Linked DNA regions of Oryzias latipes. The protein of the gene in region 3 interacts with the protein of the main gene of each other region in a pairwise test. Links are inferred from orthologs where the notes say so. Each region holds a gene or a part of one and is shown on either strand. Other genes may lie near its edges.

Evidence for each region.
Region 1: the proteins of dvl3 (region 3) and csnk1d interact in binary tests that used the Homo sapiens proteins (3 or more experiments, as listed by UniProt). The two-hybrid records come from large-scale screens. The link is inferred for Oryzias latipes from reciprocal best matches to the Homo sapiens genes DVL3 and CSNK1D.
Region 2: the proteins of dvl3 (region 3) and pitx1 interact in binary tests that used the Homo sapiens proteins (3 or more experiments, as listed by UniProt). The two-hybrid records come from large-scale screens. The link is inferred for Oryzias latipes from reciprocal best matches to the Homo sapiens genes DVL3 and PITX1.

What each region holds. Positions count from the first base shown.
Region 1 is NC_019866.2:24,955,733-24,961,593, forward strand, and holds the start of csnk1d (casein kinase I), read right to left. Parts: upstream 3,793-5,861; 5' UTR 3,401-3,792; coding exon 3,325-3,400; exon of another isoform or gene 1-3,324. Other genes in the region: engase (cytosolic endo-beta-N-acetylglucosaminidase), read left to right, coding at 5,703-5,782. UniProt on the Homo sapiens protein: Essential serine/threonine-protein kinase that regulates diverse cellular growth and survival processes including Wnt signaling, DNA repair and circadian rhythms. It can phosphorylate a large number of proteins.
Region 2 is NC_019872.2:3,647,067-3,652,841, reverse strand, and holds the start of pitx1 (pituitary homeobox 1), read right to left. Parts: upstream 3,793-5,775; 5' UTR 3,651-3,792; intron 2,936-3,650; 5' UTR 2,927-2,935; coding exon 2,881-2,926; intron 1-2,880. UniProt on the Homo sapiens protein: Sequence-specific transcription factor that binds gene promoters and activates their transcription. May play a role in the development of anterior structures, and in particular, the brain and facies and in specifying the identity or structure of hindlimb.
Region 3 is NC_019875.2:21,518,136-21,523,930, reverse strand, and holds the start of dvl3 (segment polarity protein dishevelled homolog DVL-3), read right to left. Parts: upstream 3,423-5,795; 5' UTR 2,976-3,422; coding exon 2,815-2,975; intron 1,261-2,814; coding exon 1,191-1,260; intron 1-1,190. Other genes in the region: coatomer subunit beta', read right to left, coding at 4,527-4,622, 4,819-4,950, 5,086-5,163, 5,271-5,408, 5,522-5,660, 5,737-5,795. UniProt on the Homo sapiens protein: Involved in the signal transduction pathway mediated by multiple Wnt genes.

The DNA.
Region 1 (5,861 bases), on a different chromosome or scaffold from region 3:
TGTTCCTTTTTAGACGATACAGATTAAAGCAATCTCCTTCTTATCTTTGACTTCTCTATTTTGTTTATTTGTGACAAACCGTGACGTCCTTCTTTTTCCAAAACGCATCGTGATAAAGACCTTGAATTTAAAAAGAGACATTTCTTCACTGTGACGACAGAAACGGTCAACGTCCACAGAAGACGTTCTTGATTAGATCAAGACCAAAACCTGGAGCTGCAGACGATGACATGTGACCGACGGGAACGTATGCAGTAAACATGGGGGGAACGTGAGGCACACAGGAGACCCCCCCCCTGCTCCGGATGCCATTATTGAAAAGGTGAAAGGGCACGCTAAACAAGGTCTTCAGAGACCCTCCCCCAAATTGCAAAAGAAAAGTGACCACCGTGAGGAAGCACAGCACTCGTCGTCACGGTGACGTCAGTTTGACCACAGAAACAGCCGTAAACCGTCATCAGTGATGGTGATCGGTGAGTCAGTGCGTGTGACGAGCCCGCTGGCCGTTAGCGCTCTGCCTCGCCGTTAAACAAACCCCTCCCTGCAGAACATTCTCATGTTACCAGCATACCACAGAGACGGTATCTGTCGGACAGGCTCCCTCCTGTCAGACGGGTTACAGGCTCCGGCTGCAGGTTGACGTTACAAAACACACGTTTACAGTTGGTTCAGAAAGACTCCATTGTTCAAGCATTTCATTTCTCAAACCAGATTACATAAGTCGGCTTCTCTGACACACTAGTTCTGATCTAATTTCACTTGGAGACCAAAACTCAAAGTCTGAAAAGATACAAGGCAATAACTACATGTACTCTATCATATTATTCTATAAAGCACGATAGCAGAGTGACTTCTATTGAGCTGTTTTAGTCTGGCATGAACGTCGTGTTGAGACAACCACTCCTCCAAAACAAACTAATGTTCTTACAGTGCCGTCCTGCCTCTTTTCTGATCTTATGGATTTACATTGATAGATTTGATCCAGATATTCAGCTGAAGGTAGGACAAGGATATCTGGAGGACAAGCCGTACACGGGACACCCTAGATGTACCCAGTGTAAATATAACAGAAGGAATATTTTGATTGATGGCAGAGAAATGGTCTAATGGGGTGTAGTATGAGGACATAACAGCCCCTCCCTCAGTACACAGTGCATACTTGTATGTGAAGCACTTTAAAATATTCTAGTTATTAAAAAAATGTGATCCAAAGCTGGTAATCAGTTGTTCAGTGTGAAGCGTCGTTATGCAGTAAACATGTCAACAGGTAAAACCATTAAAGTAGCTGGGAATTCAAAGAGACACCAGCTTTATAACTAATAATCAGTCACCACAGACCAAAAGCTATCCAACTACAACTCACCAGAAAAATGCATGCATAGTTAAGAACTTCACTTCCCAGCATGCCCTGCTGCTGTCACAAAAGGCAGAATCAGGCTGTTGGTTCTAGTTCAAATCTAGAGCTTTATGAAAGAATGAAGATTATAGAGATGCATTTTTAAACGTTTTTAAACCCGGAGGTCAGGTTAGTCATCTCTCTGGGGGCAGAAGACAAAAACCATAAAGTGGTTATGCAAGCAGCTGGCTCCACGCCATCAGGCCCGGCGGTCACGTGGAAGGAGGGCTGGATACAATTATTTACTCTCCTGGGTCCTGTTTCTGCCTGCAGAGCCCTGTCCTCTTCCAACGTTAAGGTGTGTTTTCAGTGGATTAACCTCAAGCAGAGCCCGCCTTCACAGGCTGATGGCAGCCTGGTGTATTTAATGGAGTTTGTAGTTAAACCATGATATCCACACGTGTTATTACACTTTAATGATAGTCATCAGTTTGAGCTCATCAAGTGAGGTGTGTAACGTTTGAAAGAATCCGTCAAAACTCTGCTGTGTTCACACCTGAACTGGGCTGAAAGCTAACAGCCCATTACTATAGCTCCATAACACAACAGAAGAGCAGCAAAGCCAGTGGGGGTTTTCTATAGAACCACCCACACTAGATCTTCAGCAGCATGTTCCTGATACAAAAGGCAACATTGCCCTCAGAACAGAAGTACAACTAAGGTAGAAGTGTGCTGATTGGCTGCTGATCATCATCACCGCAGAAATAAAAACAAGACATGTCAGCTTCTTCCTGCAGATAATCCGCTGTGGCTCTTTGTTTACTGCCTGTTCCTCTTTGCAGATTTGTTGTCTGGTACTATGAAGGGGAAATCATAAACGCTGAACATTACTAATGTCTGCAAATCAAAAGGGCCACACATAAAGGCTCAAACGGATAAACTTCTTACTGAGAAGGTTTCTGGAATGACCTCCACATGTCTACGGTGGAGTCAACAGTCACAACAACATTTTTACCTCCATGGAGGCTTTTCCTTGACCTCACTGTGAAATGTTCTGGAGTCACTAAAAAGCAGGAACCAGACGTAAACGGAAGGAGCTTTGAAATGCCAACGTATGAAAGTCACGGTCATGTGCTGCTTCTCCAACACCCATCTGATTTTATTTGGATACAGTCAAATGTGTGGAGGAGAATAACTGACAGTCAGATACGTCCACATTATATCGTAATGTCTTTTCTGAGTGGAGATCTTCAGCTGTGAAAATGGTCTCGATCCAAAACTCAGGATTGTTTTTTTATTTACACAGTTTTATTGTTAAGAGCTGAATGTCAGACTCCAGCTATGCTGTTGCTGCTGAATACAAGTACAACTAGAAACATAATCCAATCCCAGACTGTAACCATTAGCAAACAATACGATGTCATAGATGGGATCAGGAAACAGACAGACAGCTGGATGTAAAGAAACCTTTGCCTGGTGGACGTTGGGCCTTCCTGATTATATCTGGACAGACAGACAGGACGCTTCCTTATAGAGTAAATGTGTTTCAGGTAAATCCACAACAGAAACACAAGAACACATGCATAAATGAACGGAAGTGTTTCGTTTAAGGACATGATGAAGCCTCGGTTTCTGAGTCCTTCAGAAACACACAGACAGACAGACAGACGGACAGACGGACAGACGGACAGACAGGGCCTCGTCCCAGAACTGCGTCCTTATAACCGGTCCAGTTCCACCATCGGTACGCTAAGCCGTCACAAAACGTCAAAGACCAAATCTTCAGAGTTTAACAGGAAGAATTCTGAACATCTCGGACTAAATGCTGCTTCAGACAACAGCCGAGTCTGCTAGCCTCTTAGCTAATGCTGCTAACAGCTGATCGTCGCTGAGCCGTTCAGGACACCCCGGAAAGAAGTCAGACCAGCCGCCCGACTCCCCTGATCGGCAGGTAGGGACCAGACCACGGCGTTTCCGTCACAACATACCCAGGTAGATGTCTCCAAACGAGCCGCTTCCAATTTTTCTGCCCAGTCTGTATCGGTTTCCAACTCTTAACTCCATGGTGAAGGTTCTGTGGTCAACCAGCTCTCTCTGAAAACGTTCAGACCTAAAGCACTTGGCAGTAAATCAAATAAAAAACAAAGAAAAGCGGGAACGAGCAGCGGCGGCGGGTTTCTGCCCAAAATCCGTTCCCCGGTGAGCAGTATGTATCCGGATGAAGACGGCTTCCAACAACAATCTTTCGCCTTCGCTTTTAAAATGTTACAAACGTCATATCGTGACAATACAGCGCTTTCTAGAAAGCTTAAAGTGTCCACGTTATGCTCGTGATGTCTTTTAGGTCGATAAAAGCTAAATTTCCGAGGATGACAACGGATTTTGGACAGAGTCTGGCGTCGCTGTGGGTCTCCCGCGTCCTGTGGCGCTGCTGTGAGCAGAACTCAGCAATCTGCTCCGCTCTGACGTCACTTCCGGTCCAGAGGAGCGGGGGGGGGGGGGCAGTTTGAAAGGTGTCGAGTTCCAAGCAGACAGCAGCAAAACAGCGGTTTGAATATAAGACACTGAAATAATTATAGAGATGACAAAATATGATTTTAATGCAACAATTGATACACAGATTATACAGATTAAAGTATTCTGTAATCACACTTTGAAATTAAAACAGGAACTATTTTTGTTACATTGATAAATAAATATTTTGATCTGAAAATGCATTTGAATTTTTTTTTTACTGCTTCTTCTTTTTCATTCTGCTGCTGCCTTTAGGGGGCGCCAAAGAAAATCATCGGACTCCGTCCAACCTTCTCTGCATCCTCCTCTCCATCCATGACCCTCCTCTTTGGTCTTCCTCTCTTTCCTGGCAGCTCCAGCCTCAGCATCCTTTCACCATCATCATCACTGTTCTTCCTCTTAAACATCTCCATCTGCTTGGATCTCCAGAACATCTGTGATCCGATCCTCTGATGGATCCATTCCTGATCCATCCTGGTCCCACAGAGAACCTCAGCATCTTCCTCTCTGCTGCCTCCAGCTCTTCCTCCTGACTCTGTGTCTGAACCGGGGGTCTCCACCGTGAGCCTCACGCGGCGCTTTTATTCCACTATTGTGGCTCTCTGACTTTGAAGAAAAATACAAACGATTTGAATAAATGTTGGCATTTATTTTAAGATTTTTTAACTGAGGTGAACTTCCATTAGCAGAATAAACTCTACTTATATTAAACCACTGCTGGGAGTTGCCATACTAAGAGGCTTGTGTGTCTAACCTCGTCTCTCAGTCTGTCCATCACCAAAGAAACAAGAAGGCGCTCAAAGCTGATCCTTGGCGTAGTCCCACCTCCATCTTCTCTTCTCTTGTCTCCCGGTTGTTCTGAAGATCTCCAACATTCTTCTCTGTCCCTGCAGACTTCTTCATCCAAACCACAGCTCTGCTCTCGTTTTCTGAAAAGACAACCAAACCACACTATTCCTACTTCAGGTTAGAAAATCTTTTTACTTTTGTTGGTTTAATGAGGCGATTGATTTTCCTAAATCCCATTGCTTTTACTGGCTGCATTTTTTATACATTTGTAATAGATTTTATTAAAATGTTCATGAATTACTTGATTAGAAATCCTATTTATTAGATGTTCTTTTTTATTTATACTGAAATTGATCACAGATTGTACTATAAGACACTCCTAGTCTTCCACACGTCACCTACAGTCAAAGAAGCTCATCCTGTCATGTTGCCTTGCATGAATGAGCTGTAGCATTTTACATCAGAATCTGGAAATGCATGTTAATAAACAGGGTTAACCTTCTACATAGTTCTTTACAATACCTTAAGCCTCAAAGGTTAATGAGTCAAGTGACCAACAAAAAAAGAAAAAAAAGTGTAAAAAGTAAATTCAGATGAGTACATAACACCTATGACTCATACTGCGTTATTAGAATTACATTAAGTTTCAGTTTAAATTGTATTTAACATGAAGCTAATTAAACTCCAATTAAAAATAAAGTTTTCTTTAAAACCCCTCCAAAACCAGACCAGCCACCTCTAATGTCAAAAATTAAAATTATACATTAAAAGGATGGTGTTAAAAAGCTCACTGTAATTGAAATGAAAGAAAAAAACGACAACAAAGAACTTAGAAACACTTTTAAAATCATGATTATGTTTTTTTTCCAGCAAAGTTTAGGATTTTTGTTTATATGCAGTTTTTTCCCCTCAAAACGGTGCGTTTTCGTTTTCACTAAATGTTCTTCACAGTAAAAGTGAACCTCTTCTTTCCTGCTTTTATTCTGAAGGAAAAACCGGAAACACGTCGAGTCTACTTCCTGTCCCGGCTTTCTTTCCGGTTTTTCTCGCTGAATGAAGAGAAATGGCAGAAACTGCGAAGGAAACCGGAAAATCTGCAGCAAAAAATTCCGACGAAAGACAGACGGAAGCAAAACGCGTCAAGTAAGGTTTCTGAAACGCTGTTTCTTACTGTCTTCCTGTTGTTTGCCTTTAACTTTCACCTTGAAGCTCCGAGAAACTA
Region 2 (5,775 bases), on a different chromosome or scaffold from region 3:
AAAGGGATCAGTGAAAATTCAAGCATTAAGGGTGAGAAATTACACAATTTTCCTGATCGTGACGTGGCGCGCAGTGCAGCACAGCGCGTCTGCCTCATAAAAACCGCGTCTTTTCGTCATCTTTGAAACGCGCCCAGCAGCTGCGCGCTTCTGTACACACTCATTCACACAAAGCAGATCTCAGATATGTTCTGAGCTGAATAAACATTTGCTGTGTGACACAGGCCTGCCCAGTTACTGTTCCCTGTGTGTGAAATGTGCACGGTGATGTCGAGTTTATTTAAAGTATGAGCTACGCGCACAAAGGCACAATCAGGGGTGATAAATGGCGCCTCGGTGGACCTCACAATGCTGAACCTTTGTGTCTGACGGCGACAAGCGGCACAGTTCCAAGCAAACAGGAGGAGAAGAACCGTCTGTTGACAGCAGGGGATCTGTCTGCTCTTTGCCCAAACAAGCTGTGATTTACAATCTGGCCTTTTCAGAAAGATGTTTTTCCCTCTGGAGCGCTGACCTTACAGTTTCTTTTTTTCTGGGACGCAAACATTCTGCCTGGATGCGATTAAATGAAGCCACTGATGGGAACATATTTGTTCCTTTAGTTGGCACTGACGCACACGCTGCAGTCGGTGGTGCTGTGGCGCGAGCGCTCCAAGAACATCCAAACCGAATTGAGCTCTGCGCCCTGAAGCTGCTGTTGTGTGGCTGTTTAGAAAAGACTATAGTTTTTTTCTTTGAAATAAATAACATCTTATTTTATTTAATTTCTACTATTTTCTTTTCTGCATAAATGTTTTTCTTTTCAGTTTATCGTCTTGCGTAAAATAGGATTGCGGCTGTCAGATGGCGCGTGGACTAAATATTGTGTTCTCGGTTTGATCTTTTGTTAAAAAAGCGAATAACTGTGACCAATGTCTAACACAATTGTTAGATGTTTTATGACACATTGAGTGTGCTTCCCTGTTAACCTCACACAGCTTTTCACCTCCACAGTAGAGATGGAATTGCCTCACGCACCAACGGCGCTGCTCTTTCTCTAAATATATAAAAAGTATCTTGTATGACTCCTTTGACCCTCGAGCATCGCTGATCTCATGCAATTAGTTTCTGCCTCAGCCAATAAGACGGCTGCTGATCCCAACAGTGTGAAGTTACCCGGCCCGCTGCGTTGGAGCAACGCGGCCAGCAGCTCGACTGAAACCGTCTGAAACCCCGGCTGCTACCGGCGCCACTGTCAAGCTTTTTTCTGCCTCTGAAGGACAAAGACTTGACATGAGATCCTCGTCCGACCGGAAAACTTCCCCGAAGGTCTTTCTGAGCATAATTGTGCAATCACTCAATAACTGCATGGATCTTGGTTCAACTGCGCCGCCTCTCTGTGCAAAGGCCTCACCTGCATTTGCCTGACAAATGAGATTGTTTAGTGTGAATCTAAACCGTTAATCTAAATTACTTTTTGAGAATTTCATCTTTATTTTGCTCTCAGTTCTTCCTCGAGATGACCGTCCAACATGCAGCACTTCCACCGAATGCAGCCAGAGTAAAGAAACCAAACCAAAACTTCAGGGCATCACTGACGTTTGAAATTAAATGAAGAAATGCAACCAGGAGGCTTGATCGCCATTTATTTAATTTGCCTGAATGAATTTCCTGTCTCCACAGATCATATAATCCCATATTTTTAATAATTTGGAATCATACCAAGTTTGAAGTATGCACCTTGTAAAAAAAAGAATCTCTTACAGCTGGAAAGAGTTGTCAGTTTAGATCACAACCTAAAGTCGAAGCTACGCAAGGATCATAACAAACCCAGTGACCTCGCAACTCCACGCCAGAATATTAAGGGATTTGCAGGACATGGAGATCTATCTGCTGAGTGCTACCTTCTTCTCTGTCCCCACGCTGTGAGCTGATAAATGGTGGTAACCCAAATACTCATCCTCCATCCCTGCCCGTGTCCTGATGCTCCACTCCTCTGGAGGGCACTTGCGCGTGATGGATGACTTAAAAAGCCTTTCCATCCGGCAGGACAGGTTAAAGGCCAGTGGCAAAGCAAATACTCATATTTGTCCATGAAGAAGTGAAAATAAAACCAAGGAGACGTCATCAATTACGCATCAAAGTACAGTCTTTGTGTTTTTTGTTTTTTTGTTTTTTGTTTTACTTGTTGGGCACAGCAAAGCCAAGCAGCGGGAAAACGAATCATCTAGAAAACCGAAGCTGCAGATTGAAAGGCTGGTCCGCAGCGATGTAACTGAACCCGGTTAGTAACTGGAGAAGGACAGAGCCGATTATTGCCTAGGTGATGGTTTTCCTTCTGGCCCAAAGGCCTTCTTGACCTGCAGTCTGACCGGCAACAAACAGCTTTACAGAGCAGAGCGCCGTGCCAACAAAACGCCTGCTAACGTCGAGATCACAAAAAAACACACAGGAGAAAGAGATCAGCAGCGTTCCTCTAACTTTTCAAGAGTTTTAGTTCGACTGAAGCCTTAAAATTAGGCTGTAAAAACACGTTGCACAAATATATGAAAGATTTTAAACAAGAAGACACAGAAGTCCACCATGAATCCTCATAAACTGAAATAAAATCTTATGCGCAATGTTTAAGAGCATGCGCAACAACGCGTTAATACCGATTTTTGTCTTTTGGATGAAAAAACAATGGTATTTTAGATATTAAACTTATCACACCCATAACTCATTTCATTGTCCTGTTTTTTTCATGATCAGAAATGGAATTAGTTGAGGTCAAAACCGGCATTTATTTAAAAAATCCAAGGAAGACTGTTTTACACGGACTGATTTAAGACTTTGTATTTCAGGGAATTTTTACAAAAACTAAAACTGTGAGCGAGAAAAGAAGAAAAGTAGAACTGATACCTTGGTCCCCACAGGAAATAACATTCTTTGATAGATTCAGTTCCATTCCAGATGCCTGAAACACACAAATTCAATATGTTGAATAGAAGGATTTTCTTTTTCTTTGTTGTTCTTTAATCCTGGTAAAATAATAAAAAATAAACATGTAAAATTCAAAAGGAATGTCAAAGCAGAATGAACATTAAACCCTTTAAATATTTCTACCATACATTTTTTTTCATTTCCATTTACAAATCCTACGCTAAACAAAAATAAAATCAATGTAAAAGCAATAATCTTCTCTGTCCTCTATGACATCTGTCAAATGTCTGTCATAATTTGATCAATATGCGTTCTTGGAGTTTTGGCCAAACAGAAACATCGCTGACCAAACTTCACAGACGCAAAGGTTACCTTTACCATGACACTGCGCGCATTCTCACACAAAGCTGCTCTTATCTACAGGAATCCTTTTGCTGCTTTTATGTCCACAGTAAATCTTCACTCAGAACGCACAGCCCTGCTTCACTCCCGTCCTTTCACCGAGCTGTAGGCAGCAGTCTGAGTGCTTCATGTGCTTCACACGGATGCTCAGAGACCTCGAACAGCTCTGGATCTATGGATGTTTTTTAAAAAAATCTGAAGCTGAGGCTTAAATCCTGATCGCTCCCGTGCGTAAAGTTCCATTAAACTCAGGGCAGGGCAACCTCAAAGTAAATGTTTGTCATTTACTTTGACTGGCTGCTTCAATAATGCTCAATACATTTAGCAATATTTCTAATTTTACTCACCAGTCAGTTCCCAGCAGAAGACAGAAAAAAAATGTAACAAAGCCTCACAGTGTCCCCATGCAGGTGTTCAGTAAATCCACTCGGGCTGTAGCGCGTGAACGCTGTGTCCGCGGATGTCGGCGCTTTACGCGTCTGTGCAGCGCTGTCTTGGTTTTCTTCCCCGGCACTCCGCTGCACGCCTCGCGCTGACGTCACCACAGTCATCCCATCCATCCCTCAAACCAGCACCCCCCACCCACACACACTCACACACACACACACACACACTGAGGCCGGTGGTACTGCCGCATCACATCGTTCAACCTCCTGCATTTGCACATTTTCAGTGTTTCTTCATGAACTTAGATCCCTACGGTTTGCTGAACATTAGTCGTCATTAACAGAAACAGTTCATCGCTCATTTTATTTAACACTTTTAAATTCATAAAAGTTTTTTATTCCTTTAAACCAATTGAGAAAATCCGCCAAAGTGCGCGTGTTACCAGTTAAGTCTTATTTGAACTTATTGTGGCGAAAAACGATTCTAAATAAATCTCAAAAACATATGCGTCACTAAAGAAGTGAAATAAAATTGTATTTATTTATAATCTTTAATAATATCTAAACATAAAAAAATAAGGACACATTTTAGAATGCACACAACCCATACTTTTTCTATTGACTATTTCCCCATTTAAGCTTTACAAAAAATGCAGTTTTAGAAATAAAAAGTTTAGATTTTCCAAATATATCATAAAATTGAGAATATGTATTGTCCGTACAATATTCTTTAATTTTATCTTAGAAAAAACACATTTCTAAGAGTAAATCTGCAGAAAACAAATCATTTTGAAAAATCGTATTCGCTTATTTTATTCTCTGAATATTTAATAAAATCGACGACACGTTTATTTTTATTCTTCAACTCTCCTATCTCAGATTTTTTGGGGGGTTTGTTTGTTATAATAGTCCCTGAGTTTTTTCTTTTTATTTAGTTTTTATTAGTCTCGTTTAATCAAACGTTTTTAACTTTAACAGATGTTTTTATTTAATCGAATACGCTGGAATGGGGACGGGAGCTGTTAAAGTGAAATGAGGTGACTCGGTTCGGGAGGTAATGGACCTGTTCCCCGTTTGAAAAGGGAAACAGGTGAAAACAGTGGAGTGTTTGTGTGAGAAGCGCAGCAGCAGAGAGGAAAAAACGGACGTTTCTCCTGCAGCAAACAGTCCAATGATTCAGGTCAAATGAGGCTGATTGAACAAGAAAAGTAAAATGTATTGAATATGTGTCGTTTTTAATTAATTGATCAACTGATCCAAAAAGGTTTGTTTTTGTATCTGCGATCATGATTTTGGACCCCAAAAAATGATGTCAGTCTCCAGCTGCTGGATCATGGCTTCATCGTACCAAATATTATTTCCAGAGTCGCCCTCTTTGGGGCTGAAACATGAGAGAAAGTGTGAAATTTGTCGCACTGTAATACTTTCCTTTTTAAGTGAGCCAAGCGCTGCGCGCAGTGCAAAGCCCGGCTCTGCGAGAGGGATCCAGGGGGGATTAAAGCGGCGCTGCGGGCCTCCCTCATCCCGCAGCAAAAGCTCTCCTCATCTGCCTTTTTCCCTCCGCTGCAGCTTCTATTCTTCCCGAGCCAGTTGGTGTGAAAAACACCAGGCTGCCTGTTTCTCCTGCACGCATGGAGGCAGAAAACCTGCTTGTTTTATGGGAACATTCACATTTTTAACATTTACCGTTATTTGAACTAAACTGTGAAAACATTGAACGGAACTTTTTTGTTGTTTAATTTTTGAGGCACAAGTTTAAATCTGTGGCTTAAAGCGGACCCCGTTCAGAATGCAACTGTACCCACTAAATACTTGAAAAGTCCGAATCAGCCAGTGCAATTGTCTACCTGTGAGGCCTGCATTGCTAAATAATGACTTCTTCACACACACAGTTGTGCACACTCACACACACACACACTGTAATTAGGCAGTAGGCTGGCAGGAGAATGCTGTGATTACTCAACGAGTGACTCGAGGAGTTAAGTAGCACCCTGAAGGTGAGGCCGTGGCCTCTTCACTCCTGTGTAAATAGGTGGAGGGATTATTTAGCCCATTTAGAGTGTGTGTGTGTGTGTGTGTGTGTGTG
Region 3 (5,795 bases):
TCCACAAATAAAGAATTCATCTTTTAACATACTTTCAAATATAAAGCACAAATTCAATCTGAGTCAGCTTCAACACATTTTTAAAATATTATCCGTGTTAAAAGATTATTGAAACGGGTTAAATGATGGCATGTCGGCCAGGAAGGAACACTACTCTGTCCTGGAATGAAGCAACATTATCTAATAAAGCTTAAGTTTATCAGGTAATTGATAACGAGAATATGAAATTTATACTTCACTGGCAAGATTAGAGAAATGAACATAAATTAGAATGAACTGCTCCAATAGTGGATCCATAACAGCGTTTTATGACCTCATTAGCAAAGGACTTCTTTCACTACCAACATTTTTGGCTTTTAAGAAAGTTCAGCAGGAAGTAAGGAAGACAATAATCTAATCATTTTTGACAAAGTTTACGCAAATCAACTGATTTTCTTGCAATAAAGTGCAGTCAAGCTGAAATCAGTGTGCTGGACTGTTGTGATGAATAATGGCTCCCTTGGGATCAACCAACCACATCACTGACAAAACAGATGAGTGCTAGAGATTAACAAACGGATGAATCTAAAATAATAGTTCCTAGTATATCAGAAAAAAATGGGTAACAACCCTAAAGAATTTAAAATTTCATAAAAAATACAAACCTGACCACAAAGCTAAAAAAACACAGCAACATATCTAGCAATCATGGTGTGTTTATGGCTCTCAAATGAAACATTTAATCACAAACACACAGTATAATATTAGCATTTTCATATCAACCCACAAAACTCTCACAACTCCAGCCTTCCTCTCTGCGATATTCAATTTTCTTGTTAAATGACACACAGTAGGACCCTTTGGTAATGAGCAATCCACCGCTATCCTGTGATTTCACTTGTCTTTAATCCAATTTCAGTGTTAAAAGGAAACAGACTGTTAACCAGAACCAAATCTTTTGTCTAAAAGCCAATGCAGGATTTCTGTTTATCCCCAAAAGTTGTAAAACATTTATAACAAAAAAAAAGGAGTTTGTATTATGCTGGAGATCATAGTTTGATAGTGATGTTCTTGTACACACACACAGGTAGGTTGAAGTCCCTCTAGAATTGGTCCAGCAGAAGGAAATCCTTGTAATAGTTGCAAACGAATTGTCTGGCAGTGGTTTATAAAAAACACACAAAAACATCTATTCTGGATTTTGAACATACCCATGACACCACACGTCCATTGAAACAGGGCAGCTTCGCGTTGTCATCCGATATTTCTTCTTTTACCACCCTGTGAATAAAGCAAAGGTTTCAGTGAAACAAGAACATGAGATGAACAACACCAACTGATGCAATGCATTCATTCCATTTTCATAGAGAACTAAGAACAAGTCTAAAATAAAATGAAGAAAAAAAGCAGCAAAGGTGTATTATTACAGATATGTAAGGGTTAAAAAGTGGTTGATAGCAGTCATGTTTCGTGTATTACAGTGTCTAAAGAATGAAAACAGCTGTAAAGTTTCCATCAGACATCTTTCAGCACTCCAGGAAGTCAAAAGCATTGTAGTCCTTCATGTGGTGCAAAACCAACTGGTCTCAATCACATATCACATAGGAAACTGACTACATAATAAAGTAGAGCTTCTTTGGAGGAAATGCATAAAAGGAATTTAAAATAAAATAAAAAATGCAGGAAACAAAATCTTTTTGTGTGTTTGGTTCCTTTCCAGTTGATTTCTGTTGGGCTTTGTACTTTAAGTTAATTGTTGTGTTCCTGGTCTATTTTTTTCACAGAGCTATAAACTGTCTGTCCTGTTGTTACAGACGAGGTGGGGTCATTTTAACCCGCACTCTATAAGGCACCATTCTTTTAGGTGTCAGCATCTCTATTTTCCAAGTAAATGCCCAATATCTTTTATTGATATGCAGTAAACTGACTAAAGCTGAGGGTTGGCTTTCCTAATGTCTGTGCTGTGCTTTTGCTTTACCAAAAGGGGTGTAGATTTTAAAATCAAGTAACTGAAGCTATGCAGTGCAATAAAAAAAAAGACTTTAAGGTTTTCAAAATGTAAATAGATTTTAAAAAGAAAAAGCTAGCCCCAGCAATTAAAGGTTTTGTCCCACCCTAAGTTTGTATTTATGAGGGCAAGTGTGAAAACCTGACTAAAAAGGGTTTAAAAAAGACCGCACTGGCTGTCTGGATAGACGCGGATAGTCTACATTTTCAGGGGCTTTCTGTTTTTTTCTTCCCCTTTGTTAAAGACTAAAACACATGCTTATAAAGCTGCCAACATGATGAACAGGACATTCTTGTGTCTAACGCTGCATTCCTCGGGCTAATAGACAACAACAGCAGGGGCCTGCGGGTCTGGACCAAACTCAAAGTGGCCCTTCATGTTCTGACACCGTCCTGCTAGCATGGATGCTACATTAGCCAGCAACTGACAGCACTGAGGTTGGCAACTAGTACTTCTTTTAAATCCACACAATGTTTAAGCCAGTCTGGGGTTTTCTCGTGTGTTTATGACACTGACTAATAATACCAAACTTGGTCAGACAAATCTGAAGAAGCGCGAGGCGTATACGTTAGCCACACGCGCAATGTAAACAAACGAGAGCTGGACGCTGAACAGATCAGCTAACGGTACAAGCCTGACTAGCTAACAAAGAAACAGCTGAGCAAAAGGTTAGCAAATAATATAGTCTAATAATGTCAAAGCCGTATTTATGGGAAGTCGACGGAAGGGAAAACAAACAAGGAATCGCACAGCAAAATCTTCCTGAAAAGCATATTTCACTGACTCCTTCAGTTCTTGACAGAGAAAATCCGCTCTTTAATAGTTACCCGAAGTCATCATCCATCGATTTGAAGAAAAATTTGTAATTTGGTTTCTTGATGACATTTTTAAAGTCCGCAAGAGTGACTCTGTCTGCCGGGACAGACAGTTTCACCAGGTACGGCGTCTCCTGATCGTCGAGGTGGTAGATAATTTTCGTTTCCCCCATCCCGGACTGTGGTTAAGGCAAGGCAGGCTGGGTACATCAAGCCGAGGGCCTGGCAGGCTCCCTCTCGGGCCCCTACTCCCCGTGGCGCTGGTGGAGGCTGTCCCGTGGTCTTCCTTGGGTTTCTTGGTCCTATAGAGTAGTTCTTTTTAGTTTTGCTTCTGATTTTATACAGCTGCTGATAGACAAACGGGTCTCTTTCTGTGGAATGGTAATAAATATTTTCCCTGTCTGTCGTGTCTAAAAGTGTACCACCAGCGCCATCCGACGTGAATCGCTTTCGCTGCGGGTTCTGTAAACTTTCACAAAGCTGCTAAAAACGCCGAAAAAAGACAATAAGGTCTGGGAAAACATGGCAAACAAAGATTCTCAAAATGTCATTCTCACAACAGCTTTCTCCCTCGTCCCTTTGCCAACCTCTGCACTTTGTTGAACACGAAACTGAGAAAAAAAAGAAAAGGGAAAATACTAAAACCTGTTCTAGAAAAGAGCGACACCATCAGGAAAGGAGTAGAATTGCACGAACCACGTCACAGAGGAGAAAGCTGTGGTGTAGGGTTTCACGAAGTGAATCCTAACTAAAATAAATCAACGGAAGTTTTTTGTTTTAAATTCTGAATTGACAATTAATTTTTTTATTTTAAAATATATTTTTAAATTGACAATTTAATTTGCAAATCAGGCTTGCAATCTGAAAAGGCCTTTTGCAACTTAGATTTCATTATGAAAAATTACAATTCAATCTCACATAAAATAAAGCTAAATCAAATTTATTTTAAATTGCAATGGGGTTTTGATACCAAATTCAAAGAAAAATATATTTTTAATTGAAATTGAAATGTTTTAGTAACAAATATACAGAAATTAAGTGCAACATTCTTGTCAGTGATCCTGTCCTTGTTGACAGATCTCAGTGCTGCCCTGCTGTTAATGGGGAAAGTAAAATACTTAACACCCAAATTCCATTTTTTATATACATTTAAGGTATAAAAGCTTGATCTCAGATTTGATTTTTGAAATCTGTAGTTTTAATGTGCCCATAAGCAATGAGAGAAGTCAATCATACCTAAAGTCCTTACTTGATGTTTTTGAAACTGGCATTTAAAATTTAAAAAAAGTCTTTTCTAAAATCACCCCTTATTAGTTGTGTATTTTGCTTCTGTAGACCCTCCCCCAAAGTTTGAAGCCTAAGGAGAACGATAACAGTCAAAACTGTACAGCAACCACAATTTATTGGACTGAATCAACTTTGATTTGCATTAAAGGCAACACAAAGCAAAATGTGAATAACAATGTATAGTAGACAGAAAATCTTTTAAGTCTCCATCAATAAATGGCATAAAAATGGAGAAGTTACAACCTCCCCACCTTAATCTTCTGGAAAACAGAACAGAACTTGTATTATCTTCTAAAGGAATCCTTTCAAAAGCGGTAGGTCAACATGGCAATATTACACTTTTCATACAATAAAAAAAAAGAATGGGGAAAGGGGATTTGGTCCCTTTCATTTAAATATGTTCTGAAGAAAGTTTGGGAGCGCAAAAGCGGCAGGTTTCAATCTTCTAAGAAATCGTCATCGAGGTTAACATCTGTGGTGTCGATGTCGTCCAATTCCATGTTGTCCAGATCCACTTCTAGCTCATCCAGAGACTACGGAGAGACAAAAAAAAAACATTTAAAGCATTTGTTTGCTTCTTTGGATAAATGTTGCAAACAGATAACAAATTTGAAACGTGGTAATGAGGACTCTACATCCTGCAGTACAAATGCGCTCTGAATAGATACAATTTTTTGAAGTTTATTCATAAAATCTAAATTTTATAAAAACACCAAAAAAAAGCCTGACCTTCTCTTTCTCTGACTGTGCAAAATCAGGAAGGTCGTCCTCTGGCTCTTTTTCAGCTTCTTTAGGAGCCGGGGGTTCAGGCTGTGAAAGTATGACAGGAGCGACTGAGCTGGATTCTTCGCTGTCTTTTGTCTGGAAATAAATGCAGTAAAGTTAAAAAATTAAAGAAACATGTAAACTGGCAGAGCACTTTTCCAGAGTGCTACAGAGCTCAAGTCAGTTACAAGAAGAAATTGGATCAATAGAAGCAAAGTGCTGTAAACAAACCTCAGACACGAAGGGAATGAAAGTGCCTTTGGGCTCGTATCCCTGAGCTTCCTCCAGAATATTCCTGTCTTCATTGGGCTAAAAGTGTCAGAAATAGACTTATTTTAAATACATAAACATTCACTTTATTTAGTCACTTTAAAACTATGCACTCTGTAACTTTTGTCACAAAGAATAGAACTCACTGTGACTAGTGGATAGTCTTTAGCAGGTCTGGAGCCACCCACGCAGGTCTCTCTCAGGTAATGCTCTGCTGCAAAGGCTTCCTTCAGGCCTGGGAACAGGTTTTCATATTCTGTGGGGTCTGCGAGGGATTCAGCTGCCTGCAAATAGGAAGAAAATAAAAGAGAATAATGAACAGGAAACTTCCAAATCTGTCTGATTAACTCAAAGTTGCATCCACAGAAGCATCAAGCTACGGTAATTCCAAACAAACCTTCTGGTTGATTTTGGATAAACTCTCTCTCCACAGTTTGACCACACGGGACACCTGGCTAGGCAGGTAGGTGCGAGCCAAAAAGGCAGCCTCTGGTAGTCTGTTTGTCCTGATCAGAAGCTCCAGGCATTGATCAAGTCTAAAGTTAAGAAAATGTTTTTAGAATGCCCACAGTGACACTTTAGTTTATCTGCAGTTTCACATTTAGTACTTACTTCCCTTGAAGGAAGTACGTCATAAAGGCCACATTGTTCTTGCCATCCCTCTCTGCCCC